Linked DNA regions of Tamandua tetradactyla. The protein of the gene in region 1 binds, or shares a complex with, the protein of each later gene. Links are inferred from orthologs where the notes say so. Each region holds a gene or a part of one and is shown in the gene's direction. Other genes may lie near its edges.

Evidence for each region. Proteins that work in one complex are often made in the same cells at the same time.
Region 2: MED23 (region 1) and MED21 share a complex: the UniProt entries of both Homo sapiens proteins name them as parts of the mediator complex. The link is inferred for Tamandua tetradactyla from reciprocal best matches to the Homo sapiens genes MED23 and MED21.

The regions. Positions count from the first base shown.
Region 1 is NC_135351.1:31,606,232-31,613,248, reverse strand, and holds the start of MED23 (mediator of RNA polymerase II transcription subunit 23), read left to right. Parts: upstream 1-3,968; 5' UTR 3,969-4,105; coding exon 4,106-4,153; intron 4,154-4,508; coding exon 4,509-4,540; intron 4,541-4,710; coding exon 4,711-4,798; intron 4,799-7,017. UniProt on the Homo sapiens protein: Required for transcriptional activation subsequent to the assembly of the pre-initiation complex. Component of the Mediator complex, a coactivator involved in the regulated transcription of nearly all RNA polymerase II-dependent genes.
Region 2 is NC_135333.1:90,067,921-90,075,146, forward strand, and holds the start of MED21 (mediator of RNA polymerase II transcription subunit 21), read left to right. Parts: upstream 1-4,123; 5' UTR 4,124-4,173; coding exon 4,174-4,215; intron 4,216-7,226. UniProt on the Homo sapiens protein: Component of the Mediator complex, a coactivator involved in the regulated transcription of nearly all RNA polymerase II-dependent genes.

The DNA.
Region 1 (7,017 bases):
CCTTTTACCTGGCTTTGCCTTGTAATCATCGAATTTACAGCAAAAGGTCAATATACCAAAATGAACTGTATCTGTATATGCTAGCAACAAACAATTGGAGCATAGAATCTTAAAAATACTATTTAAAATAGCACCCAAAAACCGTGTAAAATATTTAGGAATAAATTTAAGAAAAGATATACAAGACTAGTGTACTGAAAACCACAAAATAGAGCCAATAAAATTTAAAGAAGCCCTAAATAAAAGGAGAGATCTATCATGTTCATGGATTGAAAGGTTCAGTATTGTTTAGTTATAAACTGCCCACAAACTGTGCTACAGAGTCCATCCAATTCCAATCAAAATACCAGTATGTTTCCTCCCAACTTCGGATAAATTGATAAGCTGATTCCAGAAATGCAAAAGACATCTATAATAGTCAAAATGAGCTTCAAAAAAAAGTTGAAGAAAATACCTTATCCTTTTTCATGACTTACTAAATTATAGTACTTGAGACAGTGTGATATTGACATTAGGAGAGAGTCCAGAAACCTATTAGACCTATATTAATACAAGGAAATTCACTGAAGAAAGGAAAATTGTTTTAACAAACAGTACTAGAACAAATGTATAAGCGTATGGAAAAAAATGAGTCTCAACCCCTACTGTACACTATTTACAAAAATTAATTCAGGATGGATCATGGCCCTCAACATTAAAGCTAAAACATAAATCCTCTGAGGAAAAAAAAAGACAAAACTGGAGGATATCTTCATGACCTCAAAGTAGACTAAGATTTCTTAGGCCACTGAAATGCTAACCATAAAATTTAAAGAGTTTTCAATTGGACTTCATCAAATTAAAATTTTTCCTAATCAAAAGATATCATCTAAAAATGAAAAGGCAACTTCTGGAGGACCTCTTTTCTTGCTCAGATGTGTGGCCTCGTTCTCTCTAGGCCCAGTTCTATAAGTGAAATCATTGTCCTCCCCGCCACGTGGGACATGACAACTAGGGGTGAAAGTCTCCCTGGTGGTATGGGAGATAACTCCCAGGGATGAGTCTAGCCTGGCACTGTAGGACCAAAAATGTCATCCTGACCAAAATGGGGAAAAGAAGTGGAACAAATAAGGGATCAGTGGCTGAGAAAGTTCAAAGAGATTCAAGAGGCTACTCTGGAGGTCACTCTTAGGCAAACTTCAGTTAGACATTGCTACCTACCATAACTTGCCAAATCCCAACTAAAATCATTCCAGACAATCTCAAAGAACACCTAGAGCAATATGTAAGATTCTACAAAAGTTTCATGCAATTGGAAAACTGTCCAGAAACCTACAACTTCCAGATAGGTCCCTGGACCAGATAAGTCCTGAAACCTAGAGGGCCCAGCCTCTCCAGAACATCAGCTAGTTCCATCTCCCTACTCCATATTATTGACAGCCCCTTCCAACATTAAAAAGTTAGAATGAGCATAGCCCAAGTACCCCTAAAGAGTGGGAGAAAGTTCAAAGATGATGGCTGAGTTATCCAGGAAAGGTAGAATTTAACAAATGAGTATAACTGCTGACTCATTATATTGGTATTTTAGTCTCCAGTATCTTGGAGCAGCTAGAAGTAAAAACCTAAAATCGTGGCATTGTAGCCCATACCAAACTTTGAAATCTGTTCTACAACTAATTGTTGTGCTGTGCTTTGAAACTTTTTGCTTTTCTGTATATATGTCATTTTTCACAAAAAAGAAAAAGTCAATTGTGATGATAAAAATATATTTACTCCTTCTAGTCTCTAATGTTCTGGAGCAGCTAGAAGGAAAAAATCTGAGATGATGGTATGATAGCCCATGACCAACTCTGGGATCTGTCCTGCAACTACTTGAAAACTATTCCTTTTTTCTTTCTTTGCTTTGTATATAAATTATACAATGTAAAAAGTGAAAAAAAGAAAAGGCAGGCCAGGGCTGGGAGAAAATGTTCACTATACATATATCTGATAAAGGATTGTATACAGATTATATAAGAACGCCTACAAATAAATAACAATAAGAGAAACCACACAATTAATAACGGACAAATAACTTGAACAGACCCTTCACAAAAGAATGGCCAATAAGATATGAAAAGGTATCAACATCATTAGTCAATCAGAAAATGCAAATTAACCCCCAAGGAGATACTGCTACCCACCACTTAGAACAACTGAAATAAAAAAAAAAACTGACAACACCAAATGTCCATAAGGACGCAGAACAACTGGAACTTTCCTCCAATAGTAGTGGGAGACAAATCAGTTCAACCACTTTGGACAACCGTTTGGCAATTTCTTATAAAGTTAATCATATGCTTTGACATAAACATGAATCAGAAATTCTGCTCCTAGGTATTTACCCAACAGTGGGGAAAATATATGTCTACAGAAAGACTAGTATGAGAATGTTTGCAACAACTTTATTCATAATCATCAAAAACTGAAAATAACCTAAATATCTATCAAAGGTGAATCAATAAATAGCTACATATAAATATAATGGAAGACAATTCAGCAATGACAAATATGGATGGATCTCAAAATATAATGTTGTGTGATAGGAGGCAGACACAAAAGATTACATGCTGTAGGATTCCAATGATATAAATTTCAAGAACAAGCAAAACGAATCAATGGTTATAGAAATGAAAACTGTTTACTTCTGGGAAGGGGAGTTACCTGCAAAGGAGCACCAGGAACTTTCTGAGGTGATAGAAATTTTCTATATTTTGATTGAGTGATAGTTACACAAAGTGCGAACATTTGTCAAAATTCATGGTTCTGTACAATTTAAAATTCACGCATTTATTATATGTAAATTATACATAAATCTTAAAAGTATTAGGGAAAAACACATTAAGTAGGTCTGGAAATGGATAGTCAATTTTTATTCAATGAATGCAGCATTAGCAAGCGTAATGCAACATTAATTTGCATTTGGTTATGGCAAAAAAGGAATTGTTTTCTGACCATTTTACCTTTGTAATTACAGAAGCCTTGGTCAATATTAAGATTAGTTGACATTTTGCCAAGAATACACTGATTTAGTTAGCAGGTAGAGTTTTCACCACATAATAGGTGAAAACTGTCTAGAACTAAAGTATGATTAAAGATAATCTGAAATACAGATAATCTGTTTTCCATAAAGAAAATAACAATAGATTATTAGAGAACTTGGGTTTTAATAACCCAGGCTCTGTTATTTTCCTGGGTTGAATGTACTGCAAAATCAATTATTTCAATACAATTTATTAAAATACCTACCAGTGCACTGAGCAGAGGGAGGATAAGTGTTGCGTAAGTGGAATGCTCTGCTACGGGTGCATACAAGATGTTAGATGAGGATAAATCACTTACCTCTAGGGGAGCAAGGCTAGCTTCATGAAGGTATAAAAATTAAACTATTTGAAGGAATGAAGCGGTCCCACTTACCTTCTGCTCTGACCTCCAGAGGATCAACCTACCTTTGACCTTTCTCCACTCCTATCCCCATAAAGAGGCTGCAGGTATTGAATAAAGGGCAATTATTTTTAGATGATTATAACTAAAAATGATAGCTATTCATTTTTTTTTCAATCTTTATCGAAAGCCTACAGCCAGCTCTGAGTCCGGGCACCTGGGCCACCATAGTTAAGCAACATGGTCCTTGTCGTCAGAAAAAGTGTGGTTTCAACACCCGCTGTTCGCGGAGCTCCAGGATGCCCCCCCCCCCCGCGCCCCTTTTTCTACCTTTTGCAGAAGCGTTAACCCGGAGCAGGAAGTAATTCCCACTCTGACCTGCAGGGCGCGCCCCGCAGCCGTCGACGCCTCCGAGTGACTTGTACTCGAGGTTCCTCTGGGGGGCGCTGTTGTGCGGCTCGCGGGCCGCCCTTCACCACAGGCGGAACTGGCTGGCCGGCTCGTAGTTTCTGGGAGTTCCTCCATCGGAGCGCACCGGGTTGTTCTCAGCTTCCGTGCAGGTCCGGGTTGTTTACGGGGCCGGGAGGAGACGCGCGGGGAGGGGCACCTGCGGAGGAAACCCGGGGCGAGCTGAGGTTTCCTCGGGCGTCTCAGCCCCTCGGCCGTCTGTTCCGGGAGCCGCTCGCCCCACAAGGCGTGGGCAATGGTACAGATGGAGACGCAGTTGCAGAGCATTTTTGAGGAGGTGGTGGTGAGTGGAGCGGCCCGGAACCCAGGGCGACGCGTCGGGGTGGGGAAAGCAGCGGGGCCGCGGACCCACGAGCCCGGCCTGGGCAGCCGCTTCGCTCTCCTCCCCTTGTTTTCACACGGAGTATGTATGTGTGCAGGAGGTTGTGATTGTCAAGTGCTGTCATTCGGGGTCTCTTTTGAAATCCACACATCCTTTGTGGTAGGCCTGGCTAGTATTGTTACATTCTGCGTCGCTGATCGGGGTGATTGTCATGCTACATTGTAATAAATCGTTAGGGGAGCTCCCCCCAGTTCCCACTCCTTTTTTTTTAATTCACATCGTTCACGTGTTTGCCTTTTTTTTTTAACCCCCACAGAAAACAGAAGTTATAGAAGAGGCTTTCCCTGGGTGAGTATAGTGCATGGCAGGTTTCTGTGTAAAAAACATGAGGGTGCTTTTGTAAGACGACTTAGGTTCGTCTTGGAGGATTATAATATAGACTATCCTGGTTAAGTTGAATTCACTTTTTTTTAAAGCTAGTGGCAAATAATCTCATTATTAATTTTTTTTTTTTTTAGTATGTTTATGGATACGCCTGAAGATGAAAAAACAAAACTTATCAGCTGTTTGGGGGCCTTCAGACAGTTTTGGGGTGGTCTTTCTCAGGTGAGCATTGCATTTTTTAATACATTCATTTGATGATTTGGGACCTCTTCTTTCCTTGAGTTTTACTCTGATGTTGCTGTTAGGAACGTCATTCCATTTTTCTGGAAAGGGAGAAATAAAATTGTCATTGTCTTTTCTTTCTTTCTCTATTCTGGCTTACATTTGTTTTAATCTACCTATTTTCAATGAAGAACCTATCTTGAGAAGTCAAGTTGATGACCGACCGCACAGTGTTGAGATATTTTCGCTAACCTATAATGAGATTCTTTATTTGATATTTGTTGAATGTCCCCCTGTTAGATTAAGATCATTTCACTAATTCTTCTGATTTATTTGATGCACTTGAAGACAACTGTGTTGGGCGTTGTAAAAGGATAAAAATGTCACCAACTTTACTCAACAGATGAAGGAACTATCACAACACTAATAGAGAAATTTGTTAAGGAGATAAAGATACCATAGTAAAGATGCAAAGGTAATGCAATAAAGATACAAAGATATCCAATTTAAAGGATACAAAAAATGTATTAAAAATGTAAAAAGTGCAGTAAAACATAGTAACAAAGGATAGTTACTGGGAAAAAAAAAGACCTGTGTCCCTGAAGAAGACAAAATGTGTGATCCTTATAGTTTGTAGTATATAATCTTCTCATAGTACATTAAGATAGGAAAATGAGAACTGTTTGCGGTTGAGCCACTGGTGGTTAGACTTCACAGGCAGGGGTCACATAGTCATAAGGCATTCAGATTTAAAATTTTTAAAAATTGTTCTGTAATAGGTAATACATTTATGTGGTTCAGAAAATACAAAAGGGAGGATCCAATGAAAAGTCACTCTTTTAGCTTAATCACCTGCTCTTTTTTTCTCTCTGCAGCCAGTGTCTCCAGTTTGTTTTTTTAGAAATATTTTATGCATATAGAATTGTACTTACAGAATGGTCATGTACTGTGTATGCTTGGTTAGCTCCTTGTTTTCTTCCCCATGATAATAAAAACTGAAGGTAATTCCACATCAGTCCAGTAAGAGTTATTCCTTCCTTCCTCCCACCTTCCCTCCAGTCTTCCCTTTCTTCTAGCAGCCTAATATGTATGTCCATGTCTTCATTATTCAACTCTTTGTCTATGAACTGACATTTTCATTGCCTCTTAAATTTTCCACTTTAAACAATGCTGTAACGAATTATAGTTTGCACAGGACATAGAATAAATGCTGGGTCAAAGGCCTGTCTGTTTGTAATTTTTATAAAATTGCATAATAGCCTTCCATAAGGGTTGTACTAGTTTACACTCCCACCTGCTATGTAAGAGAGTGTCTCTTCCTTGTAGCTTCACAATTGAGTGTTAATAAACTTCATGCTCTTTGCCAATCTAATAAGTCAGAAATTTTATCTCAGTATGCTTTTATTTCATGTTTCTGGAGTGAAGTTCGACATCTTTTCAGCATGTTTTAGTTCTAAATTTAGTAAACGTTTTAGGACTTAAGGTATGGTCCCATCTTCAAGAAGTACTAATGGAGGTGCCAAGAAGTAAATGGATATTTCTGAATCTGTGTCACATCAATAATACAAGTATGTATGAGGGACAGTGGTAATACAGAGGATGTATAGGATCTTCTTGGGTGTATCTCAGAAGACAAATTCTGATAGGGGCACAGGGTTTTAGTGTCACATTTAAAGCTTTGCTAGACTAGAAATTGGATATCTAATTGGATTTATAATCGATTGGGCTTCTAGGGGTTAAATTTATACTAACTTCTCATGAGGCTGATGTACTAATCCATAATGGATTTTCCCCCCAGCGAGACAGCAACATTTATATCTGCCGTTAAAGGCACTACTTCTCTTACTTCTTCAGGGTATCTGGAGGGTCAATTTACAGCCAGAATATTGACTACCTCAAAAGGTGTGAGATACCTGTTGTTTCCCTCCTCCTGTAGTAAATCTTTTTGTTTTGTTTTGTTTGTGAAAAATAACATATACCAAAAAAGCAATAAATTTCAAAGCACACCACAACAATTAGTTGTATAACAGATTTCAGAGTTTGGTATGGTTTATAGCAGAGACGATAGGATTTAATGAGTGAGTATGACTGGTGAATCATTATATTGAATTTCTTTTAGTTACCAGTGTCTTGGAGTAGCTAGAAGGAAAAGCCTAAAATTGTATTGTGACCCTTCAGTAGATCTTTTGTGACCAAGGAATCATCTCCTGCAGTTCGCA
Region 2 (7,226 bases), on another chromosome or scaffold:
ACCTGCCACCATAGGAATGAAAAAACCTTCTTGACCAAAAAGGGGAAGAAAGAAATGAGACAAAACAAAGTTTCAGTGGCCAAATGATTTCAAACAGAGTCGAGAGGTTATCCTAGTGTTTATTTTTATGCATTATATAGATATCCCTTTTTAGTTCACAGTGTATTTTTTTTAGGGTAAGAAAGCTGTTGCTTTTTAATAGCATTATGACAGTAGACATGCCTGCTGATAGATCTTCCTCAAGAATTATTTACGTATAGCTGTTTACAACATAGTTTTTTTTAAACTGTTTTTAATATTGTATAACACATAAACAAAGCAAAGAAAAAAAGCAGTTTTCAAAGCATCCCAAAGTTTATCATGGGCTACCATACCATCATCTCAGATTTTTCCTTCTAGCTGCTCCAGAACATTGGAAGTAGCCTTGATTCTTGAAGAGCACTATATAATTATACAGCTTTTACAGTGTGCCCATGTAATTGTGAAACCCGTGTGGCTAATGCTTCCTTTTTCCAAGGGTATGGGCAGATGAGTAAAAAAATGACAATAAATAAATAATAAAAGGGGAATAAGGGGTTAAAAAATTGGGTACATTGCAATACTAGTGGTAAGTGATATGGAGAGGTAAGGGGTATGGGGATTATGGTTTTTCTTTTTTATTTCTTTTCCTGGAGTGATGCAAATGTTCTAAAAAATGATCATGGTGATGAGTACACAAATATGTGACAATATTGTGAGCCATTGATTGTATACTTTAGATGGACTATATGGTGTGTGAAGATAGCTCAATAAAAATATTTTTTTAAAAAGGAGGCTGTTCATGAGATTTTGTAGGTTTGCCAGAGTGATGCCCAGATAAATCCCAGAACGATTTGAACAGTGAATAGGGAAGTATTTGCAGAGTTCCCTAGGGGGAATGGTGAGAAAGGGGGAAAATTCAACTTCCCCAAGGGGAGAATTCTTGATATTCTCACAGGCAGTGGGAACAGCCAAAGCAATAGGACGAGTCTCCAATTTGGGTATTGCTCACATAAAACTTAACCCCGCAAAGGATAGCTAAGACTACTTAAAATTAGGCCTAAGAGTCACTCCCAAGAGAACCTCTTCTGTTGCTCAGATGTGGCCTCTCTCTCTCCGCTGATACAGCAAGCAAACTCACTGCCCTCCCCCTCTCCACATGGGACATGACTCCCAGGGGTGCGGACCTTCCTGGCAACGTGGGACAGAAATCCTAGAATAAGCTGGAACTCAGCATCAAGGGATTGAGAAAATCTTGACCAAAAGGGGGAAGGGCGAAATGAGACAAAGTGTCAATAGCTGAGAGATTCCAAAAAGAGTCGAGAGGTTATCCTGGAGGTTATTCTTACACATTAAATAGATATCACCTATTTAGTTAAGGTGTAATGGAGAGGCTGGAGGGAACTGCCTGAAAATGTGGAGCTGTGCTCTGGTGGCCATGTTTCTTGAAGATAACTATATGATGATACTGCTGTCACAGTTGGACTGTGTGGTTGTGAGAACCTTGTGTCTGATGCTCCTTTTGTCTACCTTATCGATGGACAAGTAAAACATACGGGTTAAAAATAAATAAATAATAGGGGGAACAAATGTTAAAATAAATTTAGTAGATTGAAATACTGGTGATTGGTGAAGGGGAGGGGTAAGGGGTATGGTATGTATGAATTTTTTTCTGTTTTTTTTATTGCTTTTTCTGAATTGATGCAGGAGTTCTAAGAAATTATCATGATGATGAATATACAACTATGTGATGAAAGTGTGAGTTATTGATTATATAGCAAGAATGGAATGTTCATATGACAAGAATGTTTGTGTTTGTATGTGGTTATGTAGCATAAAAAAAAAAAAAAAAGAGCCTGTTAGGTATTGAATCACGTCCTCCTCACAAAAGACATGTTCAGATTCCAACTCTTGGTCTTATGGGTGGGAACCCATTCGTAAATAGGACCTCAGAAGTTGTTATTAGTTAAGGTGTGTCTGAACTGAATGAGCCTTAATCCAGTATGGCTGAAGTACTTAAAGGCAAAGGAAATTGGACATGGAAAAGAAGCCACAGGAGCCGGAAAACATCAGAACCCAGAGAGAAAGGAGAAGATGCTGCCATGTGCATTTGCCACAGGTCAGAAGAGAAAAGACAAGCCAGCCCCAGAATGCCACAGTTTCAGTGAGAAAGCATTGCCTTGCTGATGCTCAATCTGGGACTTCTCCTAGCCTCAAAACCTTGAGCCAATAAATTCTTGTTGTTTGATCCAACCCATTGTATGCTGTTTGTTTTAGCAGTTGGAAAAATAAAACAGAGCCCATGGCCAAAAAAAAAAAAAAAAAAAAAAAAAAAACTGGGGAAAACAAGGATTCAGGGGCTTTGACTGAAGCAGAGGTTTATTTCACTCAGAAAATGATTGGGAGGTGAGGCTGGATCTCTTTGCTGGAGCTGGATTACAGCAAACCTTGAAAATCGGGTAGAAATAGTTGTCTTCAACCTGTAGTCTCTGCAAGGCAACTGAAAATCTAGAAGCAAGGTGTGTACTAATATGAGTTATCTTGAAGAGGCTCCTCTACTCCAGGAGCCCAAGTTCTCATGAGTCAGGCTGAAAAACTCAGTATTCTCATTTAGTGCATTCTTTCATTTATCCCGTCTTATCTAACCAATCACCAATCCATGTTAAATTTTCCTCAAAAACATGTTTTAGCCTCCTTTCTTCATTTACCAGAATTAAAATCCTAATTTAAATTTAACTCATCCCACTCTTGGATAACTGCAAAATCTTCCTCCTAATGAGTCCCTGGTTTACTCATCTTTGAAAATTCAGCGCCCAACATACACATCTGGCACACGGCAGGCATTCAATAAGGTACATGTATTGTACCAGGTAGGAGAAAAAAAGTCACAGATTCCCCCCAAACTATTCTTAACAAACTAGAGTCACCGCTCATTAGCCCCATTTTGAAAGAGTCGCCTCACCTACTTTCTAATAAAGCCCCAACAGGAACTTTGAAGGCTTAGGGATGGAGAGTGAGATGCCAGGAAAAGTCAGAGACGAGCCCTCGAGCAAGGGTTGGGATAAATCCAGCAAGAGAGTTACCCAATTGATTGTTTCCCCCACCCTCCTCCAACCCTAGGAGGGTAATCAGGGATAATCAGCCTAATCCTTGAGAAAGACGGTATCTGAGTTTATTCAAAGTCCACAAAGCTGTTATTTGCTGATTCTAGGCTCATTTCTTTTCAGGCTATCCCCCAAGCCCTTGCAGGATAACTTTCCTTAAATAACAAATTTACATTAGCTCTCTTCACACTTAAATAGGTCTCTATTCTGAGTCTAAATTGCGCTGAGTATCTTTTAAAAATGCAACCTACCCAACCTATGAATCTCGCTTATTTCCAGGAAACTCTCCTCTTCTGACTACACATTGTAAAACCTCCATGTTCCTCTCCACCGACCCTCCTCTTCTCTCACGCCTCACCTTAGCCCATGGAGATCTCACTACGCGGTACTTTTCTAACAGTCAATACAGCCTAGTACTCAGTTGTTTTGGACGGTTTCCATTTCACGTGCGTCAGACTCCCCAGTACACCCACACGCTGAATTAACGCGAACAGCTTGCACCCAGTCTCCAGTTCGCTAAGCCCTTCCGTGACCCTACACAACAAGGGAGGGACTCCAACCAGAACTTCCCGGTTGTCTAGTGAATTTTACTTTGGATTTTCTGAGTTTAAAGTCGGTATCGTGACTCCCAAGTATTTGGAGTTGCATGCTGGGTATATGTTTTATGGTCCACCTGGAAAATAAAAGTAACGTAAAATAAGTAGTCTAAGACGCTGTTATAAAATTAAAACATGGTGGCGGAGGGTAGAAAAAAATGCTTTAAACCCCCGCCCCCCACCGAGTCCCATAGTCGCCACAAAGTGTTTAACACCTAACAACCTCGAGAAGAGTTTCAGCCCTACTAGCTAATCGGACTCCGAACTGTCATCAAGTTCCTCAAAAAGAGTTCCAGCTGAATCAATTTAAAGTTAATCTGAGAAAGTCTTGCCCAGAGAGCACTCCGACTCCACCTCTTCTGACAACTTCACCCTGTGATTGGCCAAGACCCGACTAGCGCCGCCCAATCGCGCACGAGCAGAGGCTGCAGCGTCGCTTTACGTGAGCCATCAACATGGCGGATCGGCTCACGCAGCTGCAAGATGCTGTGAACTCGGTGAGTGGATTCTTTAGATTTGTCTCTGTCTACCCCTTTCCTAAGGTAAAGCAAAGGAGGAAGAGGGCCCGAGAAATAAACCTGGACGTGGGGACGGACGAAGGCGGTGCCTCAGTATAAAGTGTAGGATGGCAGGAGGCCCCTCGGAACTCTGGGAAGATTGAGGCGGGCAGCGGGGGCTTTGCGCAGAGCTCCTGGAGGGAACAGGTAGAGTGAGAAGGGGAAGCGTAGGATCTCTCTCCTTCCCAGCAGTCCACTATGATTCTTGTGCTCCAGGGTCCTGTCAAATTTTCTGAGAAGTTTTATTTCTTGTCAGTGGTGTTTATGGATTCTCTTCTAAGGGGGCGGAAGAGGGGGGTAGGAAGCAGATCTTTTTTTTTTTTTTTTCCGTTATCGGTACTAATACACCAAGGCGACCCGTTCTTGGTGTTCGAACCTTTTTTTAATGAAGAAATTGTGAGTTTACAGAAGATTCATGCATAAAATACAGGATTCCCGTATTAAATACTTTTATTAAAAACTTGCATTGGTATGATTCATTTGTTAGAGTTAACGAAAGCTCATTTTTGTAATTTATTAACTGTAGTCGATGGCTTAACTTACAGTTTACTATGTTGTGCAGTTCCTTGAACTAAAAAAAATTAACCACATGTATACAACATAGCATTTCCCGTTTTAATTACATTACTAGATATCTAATTCATTGCTTTTATACATTCAAAATGTTGTGCTAACTTCACCACCATCCATTACCAAAACTTTTGCATTGTCCTATATAGAAACCCTCTATAGTTTAAGCCTTAATTCCCTATTCTCTACCTCCACCGCATTCCATAGTAACCTGTATTCTGGATTCTAACTTTATGAATTTGCTTATTCTGATTATTTCATATCAGTTTGATCATACAATGTGTGTCCTTTTATATCTGGCTCATTTCACTCGGCATAATGTCTTCAAGGTTCATCAGTTTTATCACCTGTATCAGAACTTCATTCCTTATTCTGAATAAAATTCATTTGTGTGAATAAACCGCTTTTGTTTAACCATTTATTAGTTGGTGGACACTTGGATTGTTTCTATCTTTTGGCAAGTATGAATAATGACGCTATGAACTTCGGTGTACAAATAGTTTGAATCCCTACTTTAAATTTTTGGGGGATATATACCGAGTAGTGAAATTGCTGGGTCATATGGTAATTCTATACTTAACTTTCTGAGGAACTGTCAAACTGTCTTCCCATAGTGGCTGCACCATTTTACATTCCTACCAGCAATGAATGAGTATTCCTGTGTCTCCACTTCCTCTCCGACACTTGTAATTTTCTGTTTGATTTTTTTTTTTAATAGAAGCCTTTCTAGTGGGTGTAAAATGGTGTCTCATGATTTTGATTTGCATGTCCCAGATGACGCATGATGTTGTGTATATTTTTATGTGATTTTTGGCCATTTATTTATTAGAGAAATGTCTATTCAAGTTTTTGCCTATTTTTAACACTGGATTGGTTGTCTATTTGTTGAGTTGAAGGATTTCTTTATATATTACAGATATTAATCCCTTATTGGATATGTGGTTTCCAGATGTTTACTCTCATTGGGTAGGTTGTTTTATGTTCATGATAAAGTCTTTTGCACAAAATTTTCAAGTTGGTTGAGGTCCCATTTATCTGTTTTTTCTTTTGTGGCTTGTGCTTTGGGTATAAAGTTGAAGAAACCATTTCCTAATACAAGGTCTTGAAGATACTTCCCTGTTTTTTCTTCTAAGAGTTTTATAGTTCTGGCTCTTATATTTAAGTCTTTGATCCATTTTGAGTTGATTTTTGTATGATGTGTGAGATAGCGGTCCATCTTCATTCATTTGTAAATAGAGATCTAGTTTTCCCAGCACCATTTGTTGAAGAGATTCTTCTTAACTGATTGAGTAGTCTTTGCCCCCTTGTGAAAAATCAGTTAGCCATAGATGTGAAGATTAATTTCTGAGTTCTCAATTTGATTCCATTGGTCTATATGTCTGTCCTTGTGCCAGTACCATAGATGTTTTGATTACAGTGGCTTTGTAAAAAATTTTAAGATCAGAAAGTGTGAGTCCTTCAACTTAGTTCTTTTTCAAGATTGCTTTGGCTGTTTGGGGGTCACTTTAACCTTCCATATAATTTGATGATTGGCCTTTCCATTTCCCTAGAGAAGATTGTTGAAATTTTTATTGGGATTGCATTGAGCTGTAAGTCAATGTAGAGTTGACATTTAAGAATATTTAGTTTTCCAGTCAATGAATATGAAATATACTCTCATTTATTTTGGTCCTCCTTCATTTCTCTTAGCATTGCTTTGTAGTTTTCTATACACAATTCATTTACATCCTTGGTTAACTTTATTCCTAGATATTTGATTCCTTCTTCTGATTATTCATTATTAGTTTATAGAAACACTACTAGATTTTGTGTGTTAATCTTGTACCCGACCACGTTTGTTGAATTCAGTTATTAGCTCTGGGAGCTTTGTTGTAGATTTTATAGGATTCTCTGTATGTAGGATCATGTTATCTGCAAATAGAGAAAGTTTTACATCTTCCCTTCCAATTTTGATGCCTTTTCCTTCTTTTTCTTAACTAATTTGCTCTGGCAGAAATTCCAGTACAATAGTGAATATCAGTGTGACAGCCAGCATCCTTGTCTTTTTCCTGATCTTAGAGGGATAACTTTCAGTTTTTCCTCATTAAATATGATATTAGTTGTGGGTTTTTCATATATGTCCTTTATCATGTTAAAGAAATTTCCTTCTATTCCTAGCTTTCTGAGTGTTTTCATCATAAAGTGGTGCTGGATTTTGTCAGTTGCCTTCTTTACATCGATTGAGATGATCATGTTTTTTTCCCTTCATTCTGTTAATGTTAATTAATATTGTTAATTAATTGGTTTTCTTATATTGAACAATCCTTGCATACCTGGGATAAATTCCACTTGGTCATGGTATAATTCTCTTAATGTGCTGTTGGATTTGGTTTGCTAGTTTT